Linked DNA regions of Saccharomyces cerevisiae S288C. Changing the gene in region 3 together with the main gene of any one other region gives a genetic interaction. Each region holds a gene or a part of one and is shown on either strand. Other genes may lie near its edges.

Evidence for each region.
Region 1: mutations in TDA11 (region 3) and IRC19 together harm fitness more than expected from each alone (negative genetic interaction), as found in Saccharomyces cerevisiae (one large-scale study listed by BioGRID).
Region 2: mutations in TDA11 (region 3) and HSP10 together harm fitness more than expected from each alone (negative genetic interaction), as found in Saccharomyces cerevisiae (one large-scale study listed by BioGRID).

What each region holds. Positions count from the first base shown.
Region 1 is NC_001144.5:68,801-74,601, reverse strand, and holds IRC19 (Irc19p), read right to left. Parts: upstream 1,194-5,801; coding exon 501-1,193; downstream 1-500. Other genes in the region: YLL032C (uncharacterized protein), read left to right, coding at 1-332; putative AAA family ATPase RIX7, read left to right, coding at 1,456-3,969; GRC3 (polynucleotide 5'-hydroxyl-kinase), read right to left, coding at 4,124-5,801. UniProt on the Saccharomyces cerevisiae protein: Involved in sporulation and maintenance of the mitochondrial DNA. Is probably involved in a pathway contributing to genomic integrity.
Region 2 is NC_001147.6:370,024-375,037, forward strand, and holds HSP10 (Hsp10p), read right to left. Parts: upstream 822-5,014; coding exon 501-821; downstream 1-500. Other genes in the region: YOR019W (uncharacterized protein), read left to right, coding at 1-296; MCO10 (Mco10p), read left to right, coding at 1,662-1,934; protein-arginine N-methyltransferase SFM1, read right to left, coding at 2,775-3,416; DDL1 (putative carboxylic ester hydrolase), read right to left, coding at 3,687-5,014. UniProt on the Saccharomyces cerevisiae protein: Eukaryotic CPN10 homolog which is essential for mitochondrial protein biogenesis, together with CPN60. Binds to CPN60 in the presence of Mg-ATP and suppresses the ATPase activity of the latter.
Region 3 is NC_001140.6:413,496-422,664, forward strand, and holds TDA11 (Tda11p), read left to right. Parts: upstream 1-4,053; coding exon 4,054-5,568; downstream 5,569-9,169. Other genes in the region: KEL1 (Kel1p), read right to left, coding at 190-3,684; PEX18 (Pex18p), read right to left, coding at 5,726-6,577; YAP1801 (Yap1801p), read right to left, coding at 6,878-8,791.

The sequences.
Region 1 (5,801 bases), on a different chromosome or scaffold from region 3:
AAATAATTAAAAAATTTGTTCTAGGGTCTGCCTCCAGCAAGAGTAACACCAGTAATAGCAATACCAATGGCAATTTCAGATCAATGAATAATGCCAAAAGTCGTACGACCATCGATAATACCAGCCAATCAGGAGCCTCACCACAACGCCACAAAATGCCTGTTATAACGACGGTAGGAGGAGCCCAAGCCATCAAAGGATATATACCAAACACTTATTACAACGGATATGGGTATGGATACGGATATACATACGAGTACGATTATAATTATGCCAACTCTAATAAAGCTCAAACCAATAATAGGCATAAATATCAAAATGGCAGAAAATGAGAAGGAAAAAAGTTCAGTAGTATTGTAACGTTCTACGCACCTTTTCAATGGATATGCACACCACAAAATATGTCATTGCGCATATCCGCATCTATTACAGTATTTGATTGATATTTTACCATACATACTAAAAAGCTCCGCTCCGCTCCTCTTTTACGATAATGATCTTTATAACCTTGTACCTAATGTCTCATTGAGATATATCAATGTTGTATCGAAATCACTAAATACTTTGAAAAGCGGAATCTTTTTCTTTTCGGTTTTATTTAGCTTAGTTAGCGGACTAGAAGTAGTTTTCAAATGAGAGAATTTGACGTCAAGCTCATCATGGCCTATTCCTCTATGCAAAATCGATCTGTACTTTTCATATTGCATTGTTAAAAGGTTCTTTAAAATTTGCCTGCAATATGTGTTGTCCCTTGCAATATCCCACTTTTGAACTTTTGTTTCGGGCAAGTATGAACAGCTCTTCAGAACAAATTCCAAGGTTCTTTGCATCTCAGTCACGGGGAGTATCCTTTCACAACATTTCGTGTTGCTGAGAAGCTCAAGATTGATTTTCGACCTCAAGCCATCAGGATTGAATACCAAGTATCGTTTGAGTTCGTAGTTTTCTTTCATAAACTTATATCGAACATAATCCCTGTAAGTATCTTTAACCATTTTCACATTCGATATGAAAGGCTTAAGCCTCATAAATCGGCGGTAAAATAGCTTAACAACTGTACTTCTCTCAGGTGAGTCTGCATCTAGCTTTTGAAAACGTGAAGGAAGTTGGTATTTAGAATGCGATTTAATAAGAGTATAGTCTGGAGTTATAATAGCTTTTGCTGTTGTTATCGTAATAGAAGGCTTACGCATTGTGTTATCCGCTTAACTGCGATTAACATGCATACGTATGATATACTCGAGCTAGTCTCATAAGCTTTCTTCATATATGGTTGTCATGGCAAACTTCGATGTTCGTCGATAGTGACAGGTTCCAAAATTTTTCATTCAGCTCATCGCATATTTTGGAAATTCAAACAATGATTAACAACCGATGTGTGAATTAATCTGCGAGTCAGTTAGAATAAAAGATCATTAGGGCCGATAATAGCTACGTGGTGGGAAGGCTGGAATAATGGTTAAAGTAAAGTCGAAAAAGAACTCATTAACAAGTTCTCTAGATAACAAGATCGTCGATCTTATCTATCGTCTCTTGGAAGAAAAAACTTTGGACAGAAAAAGGTCTCTGAGACAAGAATCCCAAGGAGAAGAGGGCGAGAACAACGAGGGTGAAGAAGATGAGGATATATTTGAATCCATGTTTTTCGCTAAAGATTTAACAGCAGGTGAGATTTTTACCTTTTGTTTGACTAAAGATTTATCACTTCAAAGAGTTAAGAAAGTTGTCTTACAAAAGACAATTGACCGCATGCTAAAAGACGTGATTGAATCAGAATTGGAAGAATTTGGTTCTTACCCAGGTTACAACAACGAAGAGGAAGAGAAACCAAGCTTGGAAGAAGAACTAGCTAAGAAAAATATGATGATTGAGCGAGACACAAATGAGATGAACAAACGCATAACTAGCACGTGGTCCAAATCTGGATCTGTTTCCGAGTCTATAACAGAAACTGATGATCCTAAGACAGAAGAGGTTAAAAAATCTAAAAAAAGATCCAAAGAAGGTACATGTAAGGTAAAACGTCAAAAAATCAAGGAAGATAGATCTCCACCTAATTCGTCTCTGAAATCCTTAGGTGGTATGGATGATGTCGTTGCACAACTTATGGAACTAATAGGTCTACCCATTCTTCATCCAGAGATATTTTTATCCACGGGTGTCGAACCACCTAGAGGTGTTCTGTTGCATGGCCCACCGGGTTGCGGTAAGACGTCGATTGCTAATGCGTTAGCTGGAGAATTACAAGTCCCATTTATATCTATTTCTGCACCTTCAGTCGTAAGTGGTATGTCTGGGGAAAGCGAGAAAAAGATTAGGGATTTGTTTGATGAAGCGAGAAGCTTGGCACCATGTCTTGTTTTCTTTGATGAAATAGATGCCATTACACCAAAACGTGATGGAGGAGCCCAAAGAGAAATGGAGAGAAGAATAGTTGCCCAATTATTGACCTCAATGGATGAATTAACGATGGAAAAGACAAATGGAAAACCTGTTATTATCATAGGTGCCACGAATAGACCTGACTCTTTGGATGCAGCATTGAGAAGAGCAGGTAGATTCGATAGAGAAATATGCCTGAATGTCCCGAATGAAGTCTCAAGGTTACATATTTTAAAGAAAATGTCTGATAACCTAAAAATTGATGGTGCTATCGATTTTGCCAAATTGGCAAAATTAACCCCAGGCTTTGTTGGCGCTGATTTAAAGGCTTTAGTTACTGCTGCCGGTACATGCGCTATTAAAAGAATTTTCCAAACCTATGCTAATATAAAATCCACACCAACTACGGCAACGGACAGTTCAGAAGATAACATGGAAATTGATGAAACAGCAAACGGAGATGAATCTAGCCTGAAGAACACTGCGAATATGATCGATCCGTTGCCTTTATCCGTAGTCCAACAATTTATTCGTAATTATCCTGAGCCTTTATCAGGAGAGCAGTTATCATTATTATCGATTAAGTACGAAGATTTTTTGAAAGCGTTGCCAACAATTCAACCAACAGCAAAGAGAGAAGGGTTCGCTACGGTACCTGATGTTACTTGGGCTAATGTAGGCGCATTGCAAAGAGTTAGACTTGAATTAAATATGGCTATTGTGCAACCCATCAAGAGACCAGAGCTTTATGAAAAAGTGGGAATTAGCGCCCCTGGTGGTGTTTTATTGTGGGGACCACCAGGTTGTGGTAAAACGTTACTAGCAAAAGCTGTTGCCAATGAATCTCGTGCAAATTTCATATCAATCAAAGGTCCTGAATTATTAAATAAATACGTTGGTGAATCAGAAAGGTCCATCAGACAAGTTTTTACTAGAGCAAGGGCGTCTGTACCGTGTGTTATATTTTTTGATGAACTGGACGCTTTGGTGCCAAGAAGAGATACTTCTTTGTCCGAATCCTCCTCAAGAGTCGTCAACACTTTGTTAACGGAATTAGATGGGCTGAACGATAGAAGGGGAATTTTTGTGATTGGCGCCACTAATAGACCTGATATGATTGATCCTGCTATGTTAAGACCGGGCAGATTGGATAAGAGTTTGTTTATTGAGTTACCTAATACTGAGGAAAAACTAGATATTATCAAAACTTTGACCAAATCACACGGAACACCTCTGAGTAGCGATGTTGATTTTGAAGAAATTATCAGAAATGAGAAGTGCAACAATTTTTCAGGCGCTGACTTGGCTGCTTTAGTCAGGGAGAGTTCAGTCTTGGCTCTAAAAAGGAAGTTTTTTCAGAGCGAAGAAATACAATCTGTTCTTGATAATGACTTAGACAAGGAATTTGAGGATCTATCGGTTGGCGTATCTGGCGAAGAAATTATTGTGACCATGTCTGACTTCCGAAGTGCATTAAGAAAGATTAAACCCTCTGTGAGCGATAAAGATAGACTGAAATATGATAGATTAAATAAGAAAATGGGTTTAACGGAGGAGATGAAGGATGCGGAAGAAATGAAACAATAAATTTATAAATAATATTTTGGTAAAGTCCCTAGAAGTTAGTATGACTTAGATATTGAAGGAATATGAGTATACATAACAAATATATAAAACTTTGCATGATTTTTGTGTATCCTCTATCTTTCACTATTAAAAAATGTACGATTACCTTTTCTTTCTATCTTTTCATGAATTGGCCACGTCTCATGACGTTCTTACGAACTTTCCACACATGTTCCAATTTTTTCCTTCTTTCAAAAGTTGCGAACGGTATTTGTATATTATCATCCCATGTAATTGTGCGGGGGGATGGAAGAAAGTCACAAAAAGGAGTTTCCGTCTTATTTCTTACTATTATCCATTGAGCATCCTCAGGTTGTTTATCTAAAATCTGGGTATGGCAAGGTGGCACGTAAATGTTCATTATTTGCTGGGAGGTGTCAATAGAGTGTATCAGCCCCAGAGTTATGAAATTTTTAGAAGAAGAAGTACACGATTGTAGGATGGGAAAGGTATTCAAGGATTTCACCTCTAGTGAGTCTTCTCCAGAATATGTATATATCCCAATGACAGTACCTTCCAATGCGGACTTGATATCTTGAGGATTCAGATCCTGGAATTCCATAGGAAATTGAATGCCTTTAATACCGCTTTTACCTTTGCCATATGAAATTTGCAAAGGTGCAGATTTTAAAAGAGGCGCAAAATCATAATCAAATTGAGTTATTTTATGAAACAGTGCCAGTATTTTGAATGTTCTCAGTTGTGATGCATGGAACCTAGAAGATAAGGTGTGGTTCAGACTATGGGCTGGAACGCGAACAACTTCAGGTGCATATGCATCTCGTAGTGATGTGGAAAAACTCTGTGGAATTGTTAGTTCATCCAGGTGTCTTTTCGAATTAGCTGTTTCCAAAAACAATAAGTGAGTGGGCTTATATTTCCTTATTATATGATTTAAAATCTGCATCCCGAATCCTTTTATCCACCCAGGTAGATTAAGCAATGACGTTCCGAAGAAGGCTTGCTCTTCCAAATGGTCTATAAGTTTATCAGCGCAGTTCAGGTATGATGTGGGCTCGTCCTGCGGGGAAGAGGAGCCAGCGTAGAACTGTAACAAAGTTTGGAAATTTGAACCTTGGCAGAGATGTTGTCCGAGAGAAATAGGGCTGGAAAGAATCTTATTCAGGGATATTGAATCAGGTAGTGAGTATTCAGGTTGACCAGGATCTAAATCCAGGTATACCAATTCTTCCTGGCTCGTAGTAGAATCTCGTATATCTTGCGTAAATTTTTCCAATAAAAGCCTCAAGAATGTAGACTTCCCAGAGTTTTTACCACCAATCACCATGATTCTTGTATCATACGCAGCGTTCTTGTGACTCAAATATAACTTCTCTAACGGAGTTGACCAATATCCCGGCACGGATAAAGATTGAATTCGGTCTGACTCATGTAATAAATGATACGTTGTTCTCTCGTTTAATGGAAAGTAAGGTTCTTTAGGTTTCCATAGATAATTAACATCCCGATATAAATGACCTGCTTCTAACAAGCCCGTATGATTAGAATTAAAAACGCGAAGAACACATGGAAATGATTTGAATTCTTCATCTCTAATTTTAAACCTGTTGTTTCTCGGCATAAAAAAAGTGTCTTGCCAGCCTGCAAAGTGCGAAAAATCTATAGTAGGTATGGACTGTGATAACGGGTGCCAGAAGGTTAAAATTTCTCTCGAAGCGTTATAGTGTACATTGTTGTAGACAATACCTCCTTTCACCACTTGCAGCCGGAAAACACCAGATAAATGTAACTTCTGTTTTTCTTTCAACCCCACAAACATAGTTTCATCTTCA
Region 2 (5,014 bases), on a different chromosome or scaffold from region 3:
GCATTCCTTTGAGGAAAGTTAAAAGTGCCGGTGCGTTAAGAAAAGTCAAAACTAATGACTCCTCAAGTAGTGCAGGGTCAAAGAAAAGCTCGTCTAGTTTTAGTACTGTGAACACCTTCACTGGGGGTGGAGTTGGGATTTTTAAGGTGTTTAAAAGTGGAAGTTCCTCTGGAAATAAATCATCCAGTAGAAGGAATAGTAGCAGTGGCGATGTTTTTGAAAGTGATGATCGTAACGACAAGAAAAAGAAGAAGAAAAAAAAGAAGAAATCATTGTTCTTATTCGGCAAAATATGAGCGGATAGTTTGTACACATAGTGTCCCTAAAATTCCTATTGATGAATAGATCAATTTTATTAGCAGACAATTGGGGGCAGCAACTGAATAGCAGAAGAAATTTGAGTTCAATTATTTTTTTTTCCTGTCATACATAATGGCCTATTTACAGGTACATACATATAGAGTATGTATATAAAATCTCTGTTGAAGAAGACATCATTCTTAGTCCTTGGCAATCTTAGCCAGGATTTCAGCGTCCCTGAAAAGAATAACTTCATCGTCGTTACCCAATTTAATGGTAGAACCACCAAACTGTGGAATCAAAACTTGGTCACCAACTTTAACTTGAGGAACAACCTTATTACCATTAGCATCAGTAAAGCCCGGGCCTACGGCAACAACTTCAGCTTGGTTTAACTTCTCCACGTTCTTTTCAGGTAAATACAACCCGGATGCTGTCTTTGCTTGTGCCTTGATTCTTTGGACAAGGACACGGTCCATCAATGGAACGATAGATTTAGCAGACTTCAAAAGGGTGGACATTCTTTTTTTTCTGTAGATTCAATATATTTTCGATCAATGGCTTCTATCAGAAATTATTTTAAACCTAGCACATAATAAGTTTGTACTGTATAAGCGTTTTGACTAATTTTATACATAATCAAGCTTCTTTTTCCCATTCCTTCAAGATTCTAGAAATTTCTATCATTGATGACGGGCATTACCCCGTTAATGACCTTCACACGAATGAGAATTGGGCGGCTAATGAGAGAACTTCGAGAGGTGCAATAAGTGAGAAATAACAACTTTAGAACTCATTATGATTGCTTCCAATACCTAATCCTACGTATGTACTAAATTAAAAAGACAGACATGCATTATTGAATATTGACATTTTGAGAGTAACTTTTTATTATGAGTGGCATAATAAGATAATCGACGCAAGCCACAATTTATACAATAAAAAATGCTACCATCGCTGCTACATATGAACGAAAATAATACAACTATCGTTACGGCCTTTGCTGAACCGTAATAAAATAAAATTCCTTGTTACATTTTTTTAGCCAGCTGCCTCAGAAAGAGGCGTTTACTATTTAATGGAGAAAGAAAGCAAAGAAAAATAAAAGGTATTTTCTTTACGGAAAGCCTTCGAGCAATCCAGGAGAAAGTGGACCTTTTTTTCCCAATGAAGAGATCATAGGAGTATGGATTGAAAATATAATAGAACTTCGGGTAACGAGGTGTAATTTCACAGTCCATAATACAGAGCTAACGGTTTAAGGGTAAATAGTTATCTAAGTCAAGTTTTGAAGGAACAAGTAAGAAAGGTCGCTACTGTTTCTAAACATAAGATATACAAAAATAAATATAGCTATCTCAATGGGTGCTGCATACAAAGTATTTGGGAAGACGGTTCAACCTCACGTATTGGCTATATCTACGTTTATCGCTACTGCTGCAGTGGCATCTTACTTTACCACGAAACCAAAAACCAAAAATGAAGGCAAGAATAGTTCTGCCTTGAGCCAACAAAAAAGCGGTGAAAGTTCAAACTCAGATGCTATGGGAAAGGACGATGATGTCGTAAAGAGTATTGAAGGATTTTTAAATGATTTAGAGAAAGATACGAGGCAGGATACGAAAGCCAACTGATTATGTATAAAAATTTCTGAAATGGTGGTGTTCTTCATCGTTCAGTGAAGGGATGCACTGATTTCTATAAACTTGAAGCACTTTTTGAAACTACTGTTCTATAACGAAAATTAGCGTCCTTCTTTCTATTAAGTATGCATTATACATATAATTCAATATATTCTGAATAGCAAAACGGCAATGAAAAAAAAAAAACACTGAAAATACTTGCCTTAGGCCATTGTGCATGATACGAATATGCACAAAACTTGCCTCTTTTTACTTTACGGATCAATGACAACACTCAGGTGTAAGTGATAGTTGATGGCCTTTCAATATTTGAAAGGCTGGAAGATAATTATAAAAAATCGAACTAATTGCCTATGATTGTTTCATTACTGAGACTATTTTTTCACCTCAAGGGGGTCGTCTGAATTAGCAAAGCCATGGCAACTAGTGCAGTGCTTGAAGTCACCAGCTCGTTTGGTTTTAGATGCAAGTAATGTAAAGAAATTAATTTAAATAAAATAATAAAAGTTTCTACTTTTTTTTTCAATTAAAAAGCATAATACAACCAATCAATTTTATCCTATTTGGCCTGACAATGATGATATCATAAAAGTAAACGGTTCCTTGTTTTTATTTTTCTTGCATGCACTTTTCAGAAGTCTTGGTAGCGCTACTAACGCAAAATACGAAATATTCATTGGCTAATAAACTTGATTTTTTCATTGAATGTCGTTTTTGAACTATATACAATATAATTAATGCTACGACCCTAAACTTTTCAACTAACTCTTTGACAAGGAAGCATCATCACTTATTACAACCATAGAATGTTACTTAAAGGACTGTTCTCATCTACATCAACAGATCGTCCAAACTTTGAGCAGAATCCTTCTTGATCAAATCCAACATCCCTTCAGGCAAAATAGGTTTACCTTCTTTATCTAAAACGTATCTAAATGGCATTTCCGTGGCCTCATTTTTATTGAACCTAAATTCAGGGTAGTCAATGAACTTGATGTCTTCAAATGCAATCCTGTCTTTGATAATCAACTGTGTTGTTCTTATGGCAGTATCCGTAGTCATTTGTTTATCACCTAGTCTTCTGCTAATTAAAAGATTCGGATAGGCAGTCTTTAGTTCTTTGGTACGATCTCTTGGAGGATGATCACCCAATATGCCACCAAATACGAAATAGTCGAATTTCGTAGCATCCTCCGGCTGTAAATCGATTGTAGCCCTAGGGTCCAATAGACAGACTCTGCCATCTTTTAACAGTTCCAAATCCTTGAAATCTTCGTTAATGCCCTTCAAATCCTTTGTAGTCCATCTTAAACCAAGTTTTAGTAGCCTTTGAGGGATGTCCTTTTCCGTGGTACTCTCTGGTAACGATGATAAAATCAAGTTTTCAGCTCCTACTTCTCTCAGGATTTGGCTATACTCTAAAATGACCCATTCACTAAACCCTTCCTCCATATGCTCAATAATGTACTTCATCGTATATCTAGAAATAATCTCCACAGCTGTATCAATCTATATTAACAATAGATATGCCCCTCAACATCTAATAAGCAAAGGGCATTGCTCTTTTACAATACTCGATGAGCTTACCGAAAATTTCTAATCCAAAATAACGGAAAAAATTGAAAAGGTGTCAATCCTGTTACCCGCAAGTTGAAGTACGGAAAGAATACAACCTTACACAGTGGAACTATAATAGACAGTAAAGAAAAAAGTTAAAAAAAACTTGTGCCTTGCGTTTACTGATCAACCAGTCTTTCTTTTTACATATATTTCTGATGCATTTTCATGTTTACTTAAAATTTCTTTTAGGATAAACGCTGCAATATCCGGTTCTTCGAAATAAGAAACATGTGATTTTATAGCTGATATAAAATCCACTTCTAGCAGACTTGGAGACATAGCATAATCTAGACGTCCGGTGTAATTCAAACCTGTAAGCATTCTCGTAAGATTTTCTGATAACTTGACCTCTTTTTTTTCTGGAGAAGTTTTTTTGGACTGCAAATTATTTTCATCAGTACCTGGCAAATCTTTCCATATGTTTTCGCCAAATTCCAAAACTTTAGAAGTTAGTCCATAAGCTTCACTACAATGTGGTAAATAAGTTTGTTCGTAATGAGCCATTTCTTTACTAACAAGAGGTTCCATCCTATAAGAAATGGGATCACAGACGTGGTAAACATTATAAATGTCCTTACATTGCGGTCTCTGTACGGTTAATTTTCTCTCCAAGTCATTGGGAAATTCGGGACGGTCACCAATTTTTGTTCTTTGAATTAACTTTAACAATCCAATTGGTGAGCCAATAAAGAACAGGTTGTCTACTTGAAATTCTAATTCATATTTTTTTTGTTTGGATAGAATATCAAATAATATCATACTACCCAACGAATGGCCCACTAAATGGACTTTCCCATCAAACTCTGGATTAAATTCTTTAAAAATCCGATATGTTTTGTTCAATTGAGAGGTTACTTGTTGTAGAATCATATCTTGGTAGTATGGTTCGACATACAACAAAATATCTAGTAGACCGTCAGCCAGTAGCTTCCTCAAGGGTAACACTCCATTTACTGTGACTTGTGACAAAGTCGGTAGGTCAGGATTTTCTATATTTTCCTCCTTAGCATCCGTTTGGAAACTTATCGAGTGCCTCCAGGTGATGGGTAGCACTTGAACGTTACAGTTGCTTTTATAATCAGGTGCTGTGTTTAATGATTGTAGTTTCTCAGAATTATTGTAGATTTTTTTCATATTAGACCTAAGTAGATTTACCGTGTGTGCGAAATTTACGTATTCGTACTTCTTACCCAAAGTCTGACCTATACCGTGAACGCATAGTATCAAGTTATCCACATCTCTTCTGTTACTTCTAATTTGTCTATCGCTTGCGCCCGAATTTTTGCCATCTTCTATTTTGCTACTAGCATTAGCGCCTTGACTGTTATCTGCATTGTTATAGTCTGTTTCCATTTGCTTTTCCAAGCTCTGTGCATCATCTTGATCTTTACTAGCATTACCATTGAACAACTGTAAAAAGTCCGATAAATTGAAGAGGTTTGAAACTTTCT
Region 3 (9,169 bases):
TACTATTTCTCTCCTTCATTTATTCTTCCATGATATATAAATTTTTGTCAAGAGTACAGTTATTATTATATTATATCATTATTATAATTGTTATGATTACTATTAATATTATTAATGTTTATTATCAATGTTTATTATTATTATTGTTATTACACATGAAAAGTGAAATTTCATTACGCATATTGTCTTTTATAGTAGATCGCTGTCAGCATCTTCATTAACTTGTTTGGTGTTATTTTCCAAATTCAATAATCTCTTTTTCAACTCTAACACTTCACTTTTCAAGTCATCTCTTTCTTGATTAGTGATGAAGAGTTCCGCTTTCAGATCATTTATTTTGATGTTGAATTGATTTTCTCTTATGCTGTTGCTATTTTTTACATTATTGGAACTCTCCTCGGTGCTTCTGAGACCATTTTCGAAATTTTCACTGCAGACGCCATTTTTGAACTTCAATTCATCTAACTCGTCGATTAACTTTTTATTCAAACTCTTGTACTTCTCTAGCTCTCTTTGTGAAACCATTAGTGCCTTACTTGCACTGTCCATAGAACTGATACTTTCTTTGTAATCATTCTGTATTTTTTTGATTTCATTCTCTTTTACTAATACATCTTGACTTAATGAGCTGTGTTCCATCTTTAAAGCATGGTATTCAGAAGATAGTTTTTCTTTAGATATTGTTAGCTCTTGACTTCTCTCCAGCAAATCGTCCAATCTATTCGTTAGTTTGTTAATCACTACACGGTGGTGACGACTTTGATCACCATAGGGTTCACCGACAGTTTTCTCGCCATTTTCATCCGATACAGATATCAAAGAAGAAGAAGATTCAAGAAACGAAGAGTTGGCTCTGTTTTCTTTCCAATGACTGATCAATGAGCCTAACTGTGACGAGTAATTCGCAACATTATTGATTATATCTTCGTTATGTTGTTTGCTTTCATTTTTCAACCTTTCATTTTCTCTACTCAAATTCTCATGTTCTATCTGTAGTTCTTCAAGTTTTTCTTTGTAATTAGGCTCTAGTTCTAAGGATTTAATTTTTTCGTTCTGAAATTGTATAACTTCATTTAGATTCTCTATGTCTAAGAATTTGCTATTCACCAACTCTTCTAGCTCATTAACTTTATCTTCCAAGGAATGATTATCTGCCTCTAGTATTTCACATTTTGATTGCAGTCTGACGGAATCCAATTCATCTATTTCTTTCGTTGTCCCAGAATTCTTCTGGGATTTTAACTGCCATAGCTCCGTCTCTAATTCCTTTATGTGAGCTCCGGCTTCAAGCGCCTTTTCGTGCGTCAATTCTTTCAAACTTTGCAATTCCGATCTTAATTTCTCAAATAGTGCCCTATCTACGACTTCGGTAGTAGCATCTCTATTTATAGGAACGCTAGCTTCTTCATTTTTCGTATCAGTTGGAACGTCTCCCATTGGGGACACGTTTTTTTCATCACTTGCATCAATAACATGGTTAGCACTATCATGGCCCGCGGTGTCGCTTTTCTTTATTGTAATATCCACAGGCTCGGACAGTTTGTCGATCTCCGTATTATTCTGTGATAATTCTGAAGATTCATTATAATGCTTTATTTTGAACTGATCTTTGGATGGGGAGCTCGCCATTTGAGCCACACCGATTTCGTCGTCTTCGTCAGCAACATTGCCGTCCTCTTCAACCTTGGACATCGAAGATGTGCCTAGTTTGTCCCCGTTTATCTCTTGGTCGAAGGTCGTCGTGGAATCTATTTTTTCATCAGCGTCAGGAAGATGTTTTATTTCCTCTATATTACCATTTTGGGGCGTTTTTATCTCATTACTTGGAAGCGTCTCTAATATTGGGGAGTTATTCTTTATTTGGTTTGCAGGGGTGAGATTATCTCCATAGATTGAAGATGGGATGCGCTGATTTCCAACTGTTGGATCCATAGTTTCAGAAAGATCAGGTTCTTTCTGGATAGTAGGCGTATCAAATGGTTTGTTGGAAGTTATTTTCATAACCGGCGTTTGTGAGCTTTCAGATGGAACATATGGAGTCAAAATGTTAGGCTCAGCAATCAAGTGAGATTCAGAATTTACTGGGTGGCTCTGATTTTGGTGTTCTGTTGACACATTTCGATTGTGTACCTCCCTGTTGAGGCGATCAGCATCTGAAAAATCTTTTGGTGCAGGTGATGGAGCGGAAGCTAGAGGAGCTGCTGAAATTGGTACGTTCATATTTTTAGTTTGATGAGAGGTTGGGGTAACGGGCGTCGCCAGGTCAAGATTACCATTTCTCGGAGTTGGCGTATCAGTTGGAACATCCATTACGCCTGGACAAAGGTCCTTTATGCGGGCCAAGTCTAGCGTATAAACAATTGTACCTCTTTGCATATCAATATCAGAGGTATGCAAGTCGTACTCCTCGACTCTAGCGTAATCAAATTTATCTCCTCCCATAATCAAAATTTTATCATTTTTTAATAATGTTAAAGAATGCCCAGAACGGCCTTGCGGAATTCCAGCCGTAAATACAGGTAATTTAAACCATTTACGCGATTTCAAGTTTAGGAAATACACGGAGTTCAAATAAGCATCATGCTCATCTTTCCCGCCTACAACACACATCAGATCGTTGTAGACTACAGTAGCATGTTCTTGAACTGGAGGAGGCTTTTCACCCGTGGTATCAATGATAAACCAATCATTTATTGCAGGGTCGTACATAAACACATCATTTACTAAACCTTGTAAGGTATCGCCACCAAATACCCATAGTTTAGAATCGTATGATATCATAGTAAAATTGGTAATAGGTGGTGGTGTAAAGGTCCTTGGTTTCAAAAATTCCCAATGAGAGTCCGGTCTTCTAAAAGAAGATAAGTCGTAAACAGCCAAGTCGTTGAAGTAGGTGTCATCAAATTGACCACCAAACACGTACAGTTTTGTTTTCATTTGAGTTGTGGCGATAATCGAAATTTTATGACCGTACCTTCCCAATGGACGTGGTCCCACGGGTGCCGGGACTGTCCATTTATAGGAATTAATATTCAAAAGGTATATGTCATCGTCCATCAAACCTTCCTTATTGACTTTGTGTGTGTCACCGCCAAATACAACAAAGGCATTCCCGCATAATACAGCAGCGTGGCCTACCCTTGGTGGTGGTGTAGCTTCACTTATGTCTATCGTTGTAGTGGAAAATCTGGTGGCATTATCGAAGGCCGTTAATATCCATGTATCGCCGTACACAGATTGGTCATGAAGTCCCCCAATAACATATATCTGGTTCTTGTCTGTAACATATGCTGAAGCAACATGTCTATAACGTGGAAAAGGAGAATTCTGTAACTTGATTCTATTCCATACGGTATATTCTCTCTGTTTTGAAAGCTGCTTATGGAGAGTAGTGGACGGTCCTGAGACATTTCGCTGTTGCGGTGGTACTGCGCTCGGTTGAATCCTTGATTCGGATACCTGTTTTCTGGCAAACATAGGTGGTGAACTAGTTTTATTAACATTAGAATGGTAACCTTGTGAAAATTGACGCCCTTTCTGAGGCGTTTCTTGTTTTGTGAAAAATTTTTCATTTGGAGGAGTTGACAGTGAAGCTTCTCTAGATTGGTCAGAGATAGAAGCATCAGAAGGCGTCTTTCCATGTTTCTTGTGAGTGAATTTCTTGGCGAAGCTGAATCCAGCCATGTTTGAGTTATTTTCTAGGTGCAAATTGAAGCAAACGGGCTCTAACTTTTCCTGAAAAATTACTGTGAATTTGTTAATAAGTGTAAGTATCACAAATCAAGCAAAACAATTACTTTATAGAACGAGCCCTGTTGCTTTTCTATATCTTATTGTTTCGTATTTTAAAGGAATGCTTGCTTGTAGTTTACTATCAACAACCGCGTCGCCAAGTCCCCAGAAGACGTGCCGCGTGATTCCAAAGGTGATGAAGGGTACAAGTTGTAAAGTTCAATATAATAGGTAAGGAAAAAGGCCAATACTAACTGTGCTTTTCTCAATTACCACTACATGGATCCGAGGATAATTAAATCTATCTCCTAGGGCACTGATATGAATAAATTTGACGAGTTTATAGAGTCTAATGAGAAGGATTTGGATGTGGACACCAGTACCCGAAATAGTATAATTTCGATGTCACCTGTGAGGAAAACTGGACGAAAGATTCGTTCTGCTAGTTCCAATGGATATAGGCTAGAACACCATCGTACGTCCAGTGCGGGAAGCATGCATTCGCAAAGACTAATGACGCCTACCAGATTAAATGACCAGGACCATCCCTTACAAGCCAAGCCAGATGCTAGGAGGGTGGTAACTCGTCATTCTTCTGTCTCAGTTCCAAATGCAATGAGCAAGAGAAGATCACTTATTCAACCCATGGTTGTTCCCACTACACCAGAATCTCAAAACAACTTACCTTCAGTAAGTCATTCTGAGGGATCCTATGGAATCCCATTAGAGTCAACCACTGTACTTTCTAGTGAGCAAGCGATGGCCAGCGGACTTCGACGGTCTAGAAATGGGAGTTCGCAGTCGGTTAATAGTATGATAGCGACCACCATACCAACAAATGGGGTCGATGTAAGTGCGCTTCTACAATCTCTCGCTACAAAAGAGTTAGAACTTCTGGAATGCAAACAAAAGATTGAAGATTTGAAAAAGCAAACCCAGCATGAAGAGCAAAACTATACTCGTCGGGCACGTGAACTGCATGAACTCAAGGAGCAAGTGAGTAAACATTTGGATCCCTCTCTAAATACACCTGTTAAAAACCGGGCTTTTTCACCGGTTTACCAGAATATACCTTTGGAATCACGAACTGAAAATGCTGGTAACAGCAGCCTTCCTAGTTCTGTCAGTAAACCAAAGAACATGGGTCATCAAAGTACTAATCAGTCAAGATCTGTGTCTCCGCAAGATATTCAAGAAAGGCGCCAAAGGGACGACTCGTCAGATTCATCCAAACAGTCACTTTGGAGCAAACCATTAGCTCTGTTTAATCAGTTTGATAAAATCATTCAGCATGAAATTGAAAGAACTCTGAATTGGGATGACTCTCTTTCAGGTACGCCTGAGGTACAGGAAGGGACACCGACTAGTAATAGCGAGTCGTCCGCGCAACAGTACGATAATGAAGCACCTGGAGCTCGCCAAAAATCTCCTTCGCAAGGATCAGTCTCCAGGTCGCTTTGGAGCTTTGTTAGCGATGTCAAGGCCGGATTACTCGGTATAGAAGAAGAAAACGATAATGATGTTATTACTGATAACAGATGTGATCCTGTATATAAAAGCGATAGACAGCATGAACAGAAAAAAAGTACACATAAAATTACGAACCGGGGGCAAGCAGAAGATAGTGGCGACGATTCTAGTTTAAACATGAGGAAATTTAAAACGACAACTAAGTTCCAGAAAGACAATGCTGGGAATAATAGTCTCACAGATGAAAGTGGACATCGAACACGAGAAAAAAAAAGTAAAAGAAGTAGTAACAAGCTAAGTTTTATTGGAGAACCCGATAATGATAATTCCTCCGTCAAAAACTCAGTTGAAATGACAGACTTCTAATTCCTTTTTCAAAATGACGTTTATTCTTCACTTGTCACTCTTTTTACGTATAGCTGTGAACGCAGTATGTAATTTAATACTGTTTTCTCTTGAAAGTGGTTAAAAAGTGTTATATATCTGAAATTCATGGTTTAAATTAAAGAAATTTCAAGGCCCGTTAAGCAATTCTGTCTTCAACATCATGGAACTCAAGACCAGCCCAGTTTCCTGAATTCTGAAAACAAAAACCTACGTGTTTTTGAAGGTTTCTTTCTGTACCGTTATCCTTCTTTAAAACTATAGAACCATCACTAATGCTGCCCATCAGCCCCATAAACTTTGAACTGTTTAGTCTTTCTTTTACATCTTTATTGGCACTATTATTATCGCAAAACTCAATTATATCGGAAGCCAAACCTTTCATGGCAGTTTCTTCATCTTCCAGACTCGTACCTGAATTTTCCTCTTCTGTATGGACATCTTCTTCCAAACTACTGGCTTCCAGTTCCGAAAATTCAGCATTAATTAAAGAATCAATGTGGCTGTTGATAGGATGTTCTAAACCTGTTGTCTTGAATATCTGATGGTCAACCACAGGGAAGGAAGCAATGTTAAAGTTTTTCTGTGAATAAAAGCCTAAGGGAAAATCTGTCTGAGATGTCCGTAGCCCGTTGTTTATATTAAGATTCGCGATTTGATTTTCGATGGGCGGTTCAACATTCTTAGGGAAGTTATATCTAAAATCCTTGGCCCAAGAAGTTTCATTGTCATTTAGATTTGGCGCTTCAAATTTGTAACTTTGATCCTCTAAGGTTCTAGGACGAATATTTACGTAGGACCGTGATTGATTCAAATCTTCTGAGTGTTGTAGAAATTTCAGCTCAATTTTATCCTTCAGAATCGGTGGTGAATTCAGTCTGCTCCCGATTTTGTTAAAAGAGAGCGTATTGTCCCTGCCCGTAAAAGGCCCCTTTTCTGTACTACTAATAAATTTATTCACCTCATTCGTTTGGCATCGGTTACTATTCATTGTTTGTATTTTATATCATTTGTCCATTGAAGTTTAGACAAGTATCAAATACCCAGTTTTCGTCTTTTCCCTTATATAGGTCGTCTCGGAAATAACAATATAAACTCCATGGTGCGGCGCTATCGAAATCTTTTGTTGGCGGGAGGAATTGAAGACAGTAAGATGTAAGTATTACATACTATAGGACAAATGCAAAATATGTACAAAATGGCAAAAATTACATAGCTCTTCCTTACAACTATATATAGCTATCCAAAGATGCACTTGAGTACTCCCTTACATACCTGATTATACTAGATATTACATATCAATTAAATTGAGGTTGTTAGCATATTGGTTTCCTAAAACTGGTTGCTGTGTTTGAGACTGTTCCGGTTGTGGTTGCTGTTGTGGATAGAAAGGGAAATTTTGAGGTTGAACTGTCCCAGTTATATTTGTAACAGGGTTGGCTCCTGCAGTTGCAGGCACATAATAACCCTGTTGTGGTTGCTGTTGTTGCTGTTGCTGTTGTTGCTGTTGCTGTTGTTGCTGTTGTTGGAGATGATTCTGAGTGTAGTGAGCCTGAAATTCCATTTTATCAAAACGCTGAGGAATATTCATCGATCCCTGCATGCTAGTAGGGGTTGTCATAACGCTATTGATCGAGCTCAAAGGCATTTTTTGTTGTTGAAATTGTTGTTGATTGTACGTTTGGTTTTGAAAAGGGTTACTTATTATCTGTTGTTGTAGCGGCATATTGGTATTTTGTTCATCAAAGTTTGGTCGTGAAAATGGGTTATTTAAGACATTTTCGTGTGCAGGATTCCCTGTTGCGATCGTCGCGGCGTTGTGCAATGCGAACGGGTTGTTAGAACCAGTTTGTGAATGAGAGACTTGTTGATTAGAAGCGGCAGTTGTATCCTGTGAAACGGAGTATCCTCCAAACCCTGCACCTGTAAATGTGGGTGTTAAATGGTTGTTAATCGAATAGTACCCCGTTTGTTGGGCACTTACGCCAGCATCTTGTACAGGGTTGAAGTTCACTGTGTGTTGGACCGCTGCATATTCAGGAACGTTTAAATTTGCGGGCTCTGTATGAGCGGTTGGTGTATTCATCACCTGTGGCTGAGTTTGAGATACAAATGGGTTATTTGCGATCTGTTGCGTTTGATTAGCCACAGCCATTGGAATGTTAGTATGCATAGAAGAGTCTGTTCCAAACGGGTTGTAAGATTGAGCCGCCGTGACAGTAGTTAGAGCAGGGGAAATCGCTACTTGTTCGTTTTTCAATTGTGCCTCTAGTATCCTTTTTTGTTCCCGGATTTGCTCCAACCTTTCCTGTGCAGTAGATTTGGCTACTACGGCCCCAGCACTTCCTTGAGAACTGTCAACGGGCACAAAAGTGTTGTGCGTCTTATCATCCTCTATCAGATGTTCTTCTAGCGATCTGACCAGTTTGGTAGTGATATGCTTGATGACGGGTATTTTCAAGCCCGCAGTCTTCCCGCTCTTCAAGTACCTGACAACGTGCTCGGTCAAATCAACAAACGTCTTGTACAGGTCTAGAGTTCTCTCTGCATTATGATGAGATAGTTCGAAAAAAGACTCCAGCAGAGTTATGATACCTTCGTTGAGAGCATTATATAGCGCTAGCAGGTCTTGAATAAGCAGCTTGAAACCAAATATGATCAATTCGTTACTCAAATCATATTGTGTATACTTGTTTTTAATCAGGGCTTGTATTTGTACCTCTAGGGACTCCACATGATCTAGTGCTATATTGATAGAGTGTTGCTTGTTTCTGGAGCTTCCGTAATTGCCACTGTTCAGCTTCAGTGTTCGATAGCCGTCTCTCACATAGTCCTTTTTGATTTTACCAAACTCCCTGCATCTCACCTTCAGATAATTATCGTATCTATCAAGTGCCCTCATGTCTCCAGACGCACTGCCATTGGAGCCACGTATGTTTTCAATGTCAAAAAACTCCAGGTTCCTAGAGTAGTACCGCAATGCAACATCTTTGGAACCCTCCCTTATCATCAAATGAACCACCAACAGCGATTTATACACAATAGTCCACGCCGTGTCATTAATTCGGGAATCCAAACCCTTCACGATCTCATAGAAATCCTCTTCATTGCTGGTCCCCAACAGTATCGGATCCAGATACTTCTGTTTGGGCGGGGCTGACTTGATCTTGGTAGCACCTTTTACCAACTTGAAATATGTTGTCATCTCGCCTCAATCGAAATTTATACTCTAGTATCTGCGATATCGAACAGTCCCTTTATATTTACGAGACAGGTTTTGTCCTTCCTCCCCCACCAAAAAGACGCTATAAAATACTAAATATATCTAATATCGCTACTGCTCAATTCACCTAACGAATGATTACCACCAAGCATCAACACCATGTGCATACCATACCGCTAACTAAACTCACCAACGCTGGAAGCCTGAATACCAAGTATCGAACTGAGGCCCCTGTGTTACCAATCCGTAAAAAGTGATGGAACCCGCCGCTCGCTTCCAAGAGTTATCATCATATTCTTCATCATATTCTTCCATACTTAAGGTGGGTAGCGAGGACCCCTCAATTCCCCCACCTCTCTG